2 linked regions of the Canis lupus familiaris genome follow. The protein of the gene in region 1 interacts with the protein of each later gene in a biochemical or structural test. Links are inferred from orthologs where the notes say so. Each region holds a gene or a part of one and is shown in the gene's direction. Other genes may lie near its edges.

Region 1 (4,021 bases):
AATGGTTTTCAGAGACTCTGTAGGGCTCTGTAACCTCTTTCGGAAGTTTGGGAAAAGTGATCCCCCCTCCCCCCCATCATTCCTTCTCTTTGACTTGTTTTATACATTTAGGTTCAGTTTTAACTCTGGAAAGGCAGGGATGCCTAAAACATTTGAAGTCGTCTGCCCTATCAGCCTGAGACCGCTCTAGGGTGAATGTATTAGGAAATGAAAATGTAGGTAATAATAATTTATATTTGTCAGTGAGCAGACTTTATCTAACTTCATCCATATTTCTATTCCCAATGATGTTTCATGTAGCCTAATATTAACGTGAGGTTGAAATGACTGAATACAATAGGGTCTGGAAGTGATTGGAACTAAAATTTGATTTGGAAAATGGGTAATCTACAATTTACTGCACAGGGTTCATTCCCACCATGAGCTCCTGCTGTGCGTTTAAAGGCTGCCCTATAAGCATGATATAATGACAGGTTAAACCCCTGAGTGTACCACCTGACGCAGGGCAAATCTGAGGCCCAGGACTTTATTGGGGCCCGTGTAATGCTTCTTTAAAAACACAAGCTTCTCTGTTTAATGAGGCCATTTAAGATGGTTTTCCCAGACTGGGAAGAGAATATAATCTCAGTTTGGAGGTTGAAGGAGTTTAATAGAGTTACGGGTGTTTACTACTCTCACTGCAATCTATTCGAAGGAAGAGAAGGAGTTTCAAGTATGATGTCACCAGGGATAGAAGTGGAGGAGTGAGTTAGAATTGAGGAAATCGGGTCGTTGACGCCCAGTATATAGTGAACGAAGTGGGGAGAGTGCTTTTACTCTATGAGCACAGTTCACACATGGTTAACCAGGAGAAGAGCACTTTTCTGGCCACGTAATTCTCATATACTCTATGTAGGTCTTAGGTTGAAATCATACAGAATTGGCAGCATCTGTTTTCTACAGAAAGACATGTTTCGAACTAAATGTAAGCTTGTGGAAATGGGTGAGGTTGCAGTGTTGCCTGGGGTCGAGGGCAGGGTCTGGGTTGTGCGGGGCAGCGCCCCAGCGGCCCTGGGCTGGGGGGCGGGGCTTGCGGGCGTGACCACCGCGCCGGCCCCGCCCCGCCCCGCCCTGTCCGGCCCCGCAGGCCCCGCCGGCCCCGCCCCGCGCTCGCTGCGGCTGGGCTGGGCTGGGCTGGGCTGGGCGCTGCGAGCGGAGGCCGGCGGGCGCTGCGGGCTGGAGCAGGCTCCCCCAGCACCGCCAGGCCCAGCCCTGGGCCCCGCGTGGCTCTCCGGCGGGCCGGACCCTGCGGCAGCTCCGAGCTGGCTCCGGGGTGCGCCTGACCAGCCCCCGCGCACCCTGCAGCCCCATCCTTCACCCACGCTGGCGGGCTAGTGAATGTGGGGAAGACAAACTTCCAGGGCAGGCGGTTGAGGGCCCAGCGGAGGACAGCTCCGGTGATGGCGCCCATTTTTGGAAACGCAGGCGAATTGGAGCTCGCGGGGAGGTGTGGTGGACTCCTGAGGGGACGGGAGAGGCTTCGTTCCTCTGCTGCTGCGGCAGCCGGTGCTTCGGAGGAGTGAATGGGGGATCCTAGAGCAGGGCGCTTACCTTCGCTGCTTGAAGACTTGAACTCCGACGTGCTTAGGAGCAGAACGTGTCCATCCAGCAGGGCCTCTGTTACAAATCGTGTTTGCTCCTGGGGGAAGGGCTATGAGCCGCCTGACTTCTCATGACCGGGAAGTCTCCCTTACCTTTTCCGTACTCCTGGAGGGGCGTCTTGCTCACATGTCTGCCAGCAGCTGGGACAAGGAAGAGAAAAGGTATTGACACCAAGAGACTGGGATGCTTAAAGTATGAACCGGGAAAAGTTGTGAGCTGGGGGAATCGGGATCAGGGAGTGGCTGCAATGTAATTGAGCTCTAGTTTGCATTGCTGTTTCTTTTGATCTACTGTACTTTTCTCTGTTTAAACCAAGCTTCAGGTTACGTCATCACTCCTGCAGGGTTGTCTGAAGACACTTGAGTCCGTGGTTCCTACTGCAGGGCTGCTCTGTGGTTGGGGTTCTTTTTGTTTGAAGATGGAGCTGGGTTCCACCTTTGGTGCTTTGGGAGGTTTTAGCACCTTCTGTCCTGTAATACCTCCATTCGCAAGAAATACCGGCCTCATTTCACTTGTTTTCACTCTTTAGAGATTTAAACTGTTTTTTTGTTTTTTGTTTTTTGTTTTTTTTACAATGTTTGCAAAAGTAATAAAGATAATATTGGAATGTAAGCCTGAATGATTGATGATTATGTATAGTTATTTGCTCGGTCTGGAAATGAAACGATAGTATTTTTCTTGCTTATATTTTCCTAGTTCTATTATTTTGAATACAAGCCGAGTTTACTGTTCCTTGATGTGATTAGCTTGTTTGGTTTAGTAATTTGAAAAGGCATCAGTGGTTTAGACTGTTTTGTGTGCAGGGAGCCACTTTCCAATTCTAACATTGCTCACATAAGTGAGCAGTATAAAATGGACCACGAGACAGGCATACAGCATATACGTGGGGCATTTTGGCAAGGCTGAGCCCGTTGTTTCCAAGTGGTAGAAAATGCATGGATCATCGTACTCACAAAGAATCAAACACCTGGGTTGTACAGTGTTTCAGGTGATGAGAATTGATTCCCGTTGTCCCTTAAGTCCATGTGACAAGCCACCTTATGGTGGAATTCTGTACTTTTGTAGACTCTTGAATTGTAGAATATTAACTTTAGTTGACAGTGGACTATTTTTTTTGTCACCTTCAACCCTCACTTGGTGTCTATCCTTGAGTAATCTAGAAGTCCAGTTGCTTTTATATAGTCACATGGGTAACCAGCGTTGTTTTCTTAAAGTCAGGTTCTTTGCAGCAATAATGATTACATTGAGGAAGCATTAAATTTGAGGCATTCAGTTTTAGTTTTGTTAGAAATATGGTTTGTATAGTTGTTGGGAATACAGTCTTGGGACATCAGTAGACTGATCTTTTGTTATCCCTGAGACAAATATGGCCTGTCATATCCTAACAAAGTAGATTCCTGGGAAAGGTATTTATTTGCTTTATCTTTCATTTAGCCTGACAAACTAGTTACATTGTTGTCGTTTCTTCCAGATGACATTTATCTCAAATAATATTTATTCCTGTGCTGATGAATGCTTCAGCAACACTAGTGAACCCTAGGATACAAGGAATTCTTAACCTGTTTACTGTCCCCAATGTTGCATGTGTCTCTGGTGTTTTAATCTTTATTCTTTAATTACTTCTTTTCTTCCCCTTTTCAAATTATATGTAATTTTATTGTGCAATGGAAATAGAGTAGAAAGATGTACTTTCTCTGAGTACCTAAAAACTTTTGAGATTACCCTCCATTTCTCTTCTCTTTCTCCCACCTTTATTATGGGGCCTACTGATCAGTAGGAAGTAAGATTAATTAACACGTAGCTGGTGTTCAGATTCTAGGGGAAGACTTAATAGATGAAGGTGCATGATGGGATGGCAGCAGATCCTTCCCCTGACGACCCCTCCATCCCTAAATCTACAACTGAAGCAGATAACTGTTTGCCATTAGGCGGAGTTAATCAGAGCTGATGTCCTGGGTGATCCTTTGGATTACTTGTGACTGACTCCCTGTCACTGTTTCGAGCTGCCTTAGAATGGAAAAGAAATGGACTGAGCAGGGCAATTGAACACCGAGGGAGAGGGGAAAGTTCAGTGAAAACAGCTTTGGTTGAACTTAAGCTACTTAACACAGGGTTTCTTAGTTGTTTACAGTCTGGTTTCTGTTTCAGCATTTATTCCATATTGTATAATTCATCCAAAGGGATTTTTTAATATTTTTTTAAGAAAGGGAATTCTACATGTGTTTTGGGACATTTTGATAAAAGAGATTTTATCTGGTCCACAACTCCTATAATACTCAAAATGCATAATTCGTGTAATTTGTGTTTTTTTTTTTTTTTAAATCCTTTACTCTTTTTGCTCACAGTATGTTTTTCATAAAACTTAAGTATTTCTGGCATG
Region 2 (4,230 bases), on another chromosome or scaffold:
GCTTATATATGGTCATTGATATCCAAGTCTTTGCTGGAAGCACTGAGCTGAGCTGGAATCTGCTTCCCGAGCTTCAATGCTGTCAGAGGTAGCAGGGCTTAGAGATAGGCATGATGGTGGGCTTACCTACCGACATTTTTTGTTTTTACCTGCTGTTGTATAAGATTTGATTTGTCAGCTCACCTCTAGCTTGTCTTCTTCCTTCCTTCTTGGAGAGGGGACTATTATCCCAGGTCTTCCATTGATCTGTTCTAGCTTTTAAACATGGCTGTCATTTGGCTTTCATTGACTTCAACTTAACGAGTATCTGTCAGTGTGATTATTTAAAATTCTGACTCTAGTAAGATGGGCTTGGGTCTGACAACCAGCCTATCACCTAATAGCCCTGTGACACTGAGCCAATTAAACTTCCTCAGCATCTGTTTCTCTGAGACATATGGATAGAAGTTTCCTCACCGAGTTGTGGTAACTTGATCAGATAATGTAGTTTTAAGACTTAACCTAGAGCTTGGTGCCTAGGAAGTAGTTGTTATTATGAGTGCTTCATGGAAATCATTATGCTAGGCTGTGAGAAGAGGCCAAGATAAATAAGAAAAAGTTCTTAATTTCATAGAACTTGGAGAAATAGGACAAAACTCAGAGCAGTGTGAGGTAGGACCAGTGAGGTCACATAGCCTCCTAAGAACCCTGTGAGACAGTCAGAGGACTGCTTCTTCATTTTATAAACAAGGAAATGGAGATTCAGAATTATCTGACTTGGTGAAGACACAGCCAGTGAGTGGCACAGCCTTGCTGGGACCTCACCTCTCTCTAGACTGAGCCAGGCCAGATGGATGTGCCTCAGTTTCCAGTGGAAAGAGTTGTGTCAGATGGCTCTGGGGCAGTGTGGGAGGCAGAGCTGCAAGGCCCCGGACCTGCCCTAAGGGGCTGTAGTCAGGGAGTCTTGACCCCAGTGATTGGGTCACTGGGGCCTGAACATGTGGCATCAGATACATGGTGGCAGGGGGCTTCCAAACTGGGAGGGAGTCCACGGCCTAACCCGCATATGCTGTGAGGTGGTGAGCCTCACTACGTTTCCTTTGAGAAGCTTCATGCTAATAGGTGGGTGAGTACTAGGAAGGAGGCCTTGTTCATATTATATGGTTAAAGAGCATGGGCATCTTCTCTTCCCTTCCCTGGGTGAGTTGGCCTCTTTCTCCATGGGCATATGGACCATTGGAACCAGCGTGCCCCATATTTAAGCGTGATTAAGCCTCGCAATTTTGGTAATGGCTGGTGGGCCAGGGAGGGGCTATTGTGTTTCAAAATGGAATAAACAGAAAAGCAGTATTAAAAGAATGAAGAGGTTGTTTAGTGAGGCTTGAAGAGACTACAGGTGTTTCCTCCTGTGTTGAGAACCAGTGGCCCCTGGGAATTGCATTTCCCGTTGAGCAGGGCCCATGGCGGACTGAGTCCTGCTGCCATGCCTGTGGTATAGAAACCTGAATGGGCACCGTAGAATATCCAGAGTCTTCCAGGGGTCTTTGAGACTCACCCTGGGTGTGTGGGGATCCAAGACCCGACACGCGTGCTCGCACAGCTCACTCTCACAGCCGCGTTCCCACTCACCACAGTACCGGCCTGCAGTGTGGGGCAGCCTCTGGAGGACCACGGCCCCCTGTGTGGTGGTGGCGTTCAGATCCGGCTGGCTGGCTCTGTGAGCCAGTGGTGGGCCTCCGAGGGCGCACACAGTGGGGAGACAGGCAGCCTGGCCTGAGGAAAAAGTGCGCCCGTGCCTGAGGTGGGAGGATGTGATGACGCGGTGCCCCCGCGCAGCGGGAACTCAGGCCTTTAAAAAGCTGAGGAAACAGCCTCTGAGCAAGCAGTGGCTCCCCTGGAGGAAAGCACACCCGGGTCTCACATTCAAGAAGCCAAACTGTCTGCTTCAAAGAGAAAAGGCAACATCCTGTCACAGGCCATGCTCTGGCAAAAACGTAAGTGGTTTGACCGTGGCTGTCAGAGCCATGTCAGCACAGGTAGGGGCCGGGAGCCACCAGCCAGCCCGGGACTGAGAGGATGTGGTCGTGCTGGAGGCACCAGGGCTCTCTGGGTCCCCCACCCAGGGCAGCGCAGGGGTGAAGTGGGTGAGGGAGCCCAGTGGCAAAACCAACCTGTCAGAGGTGATGCTCATTTTCCAGGCTAGTGTTCCAAGGTGGGACAGCTCATCGCGTCTCCGCTCTGAGGCATGAATCACTGTGGTGAGGAGAGGCCAGTTCATGATTCACAAAACGAAAAGCCAAATGTGACATTGGTTTGGGGCTGAGAGGGGAAGGCCATGGGGTCCTTTACACGCGTGGCTTTATTTTTCACAAAGAGCTGCTCTTCAGCTGGTGGTTCAATTCCCTGGGCCTGTTCCTCTCTGAGTTACTTAGGTTTCTGCTGAAGGTGTCATCTGTTTCTGTGAGTGCACGGGGACAACGTGGAACCTTGGCTTTGTTGGGCAGCTCTTTGCTCGCTCCACTGTCCTGCCTCTTGGCATTCTTCCTGGCGCTCTGTGGCAAGCCTTGTGGGTCCCCCGTGCAGGGGGTCAGCGGGTTTATCTTTAACCTTAGTGTTTATCCCTGGGGTTGGATGGAACAACCGTGAACTTTATTTTCCATTATGTGGGATCAAACAGAGACTTGTGTTATTAATAATTGAAATCATACAGAGAGTATCTACAACATTCCCTTCTTGAAATAACAAAGCCAACTCAACAGCCTCCTGACAGTTGAACATTTTGGGGGCTCATTTATGTACTTCCTCAAGGAAGAAATATTACCAAAAAATTGCTCTGCCTTTTCAAAAGTGCTTAGGTCTTTAAAATGCCTTTTGATGAATTTATATACACCCTACTTCAAGCAAACTTAATATAAGAGAATCAAGATTTACAGAAAAGATAAATTGGGGAGTGTTTGTTTATTTTACAAAAAGATATTTTCTTGGAGGCCTTAAAGTTCTGAAAATATACTTTCATTGATTAAAACATAACTTACAGTTACTTTATCACCAACTCATTGTTTCCTTTATTTCTTGTGTAAATTCTCTGGAATTGAGCTTGTTAATATATAATTCGGAGGAGAGATTTCAAAATTTGCCAGATTGTGAAGTCTCATTGTTTGATACTGGCAAGATGCATTTTTTTTTTTTAAATAAAAAGAGATGAACTTTAATTTGGACTTGAGAGCTATGGAGTCCTTCCAAGATCATTAGAGGTATGCTAATAGGGGTGCTGTGCATAGAATCCTGAAGGGTAGAGCAGTAGTAGTTATTGCTGAGGGCAGGTGGGTGCTAAGGTCTTTACTGGAAGCTGCTGAGTGTCCAAATGACCTTACACTTAGAAGGCTGAATTGGTGGGTTTTATGTGAGCTCTTGAGGAACTTTTGCCTTGGTTCCTACCCATTCAAAGCAAGTAATTTTCCTTTTTATTTTTATTTTCTTAAATCTTTAGGTTTCTCATATGTAAAATGGGGCAAAAATAATACCCATTACTCAGAGCTACCCTTATCTTGGTAAGCTAAGATGCCACTGAAATGATGCTGGTTGCTTTGGTTTTGCTCAATATCTGTGATATGGGTTGCTTCCTTGCATTCATGGGCTGCCATATTCCCTACTCTTGAGTATACACTACATTTTTCCTTCCTTAATTCCTCTTAAGAGATGAGCATTTTTTTTTTTTTGTTTTGTTTTTTTTTCCCGAAGGAGATGGTGGAGGCATGTTTCTTGCTCACACTCTGGATGTCAGTCAGGTCCAACAAAACTCCATTTTAGGGAGACCACAATGTAAGCTGGTCAGTGGAATAACTGGAGTGAATGGTTCTACATGTTCATATGTACACAGTCAAGATTCTCTTTACTTGTCCTTCAGCACCCTAAAGGAAATTAGGAAAAGACCTGGGCACTGGACCCATCCCCTTACCCAGGATCCGAATAAAACCCTTGTCCAGGGCACTGAGGGCACCTGGGGGACTAGACCCTGTGGGAAAACCAGTAAAAACAGGGCAGCTTTGTCAGCCCACTTTGAATCACCTGATGGAAGGGCAGAGTTTGAAATCAGACATGAAGAGTGCTGAAAAGGCACTTTCTTTTTTCAGAAAACACCCTCGGGCCATGATCTGAAATGACTGTACTATGGCGTTCTGGAAAGGGTTAAGAAAACATCCACTTTTGTACATGTTGCCTTCTCCCTATCTGGCCCATGATCCCTGTGTG

What was found. The genes of interacting proteins can lie anywhere in the genome.
Region 2: the proteins of SIAH1 (region 1) and POU2AF1 form a complex in vitro, tested with the Homo sapiens proteins (2 studies listed by BioGRID). The link is inferred for Canis lupus familiaris from reciprocal best matches to the Homo sapiens genes SIAH1 and POU2AF1.

What each region holds. Positions count from the first base shown.
Region 1 is NC_049223.1:65,986,625-65,990,645, forward strand, and holds the start of SIAH1 (E3 ubiquitin-protein ligase SIAH1), read left to right. Parts: upstream 1-1,214; 5' UTR 1,215-1,711; coding exon 1,712-1,802; intron 1,803-4,021. UniProt on the Homo sapiens protein: E3 ubiquitin-protein ligase that mediates ubiquitination and subsequent proteasomal degradation of target proteins.
Region 2 is NC_049226.1:21,705,574-21,709,803, forward strand, and holds the start of POU2AF1 (POU domain class 2-associating factor 1), read left to right. Parts: upstream 1-1,430; 5' UTR 1,431-1,957; coding exon 1,958-1,973; intron 1,974-4,230. UniProt on the Homo sapiens protein: Transcriptional coactivator that specifically associates with either POU2F1/OCT1 or POU2F2/OCT2. It boosts the POU2F1/OCT1 mediated promoter activity and to a lesser extent, that of POU2F2/OCT2. It recognizes the POU domains of POU2F1/OCT1 and POU2F2/OCT2.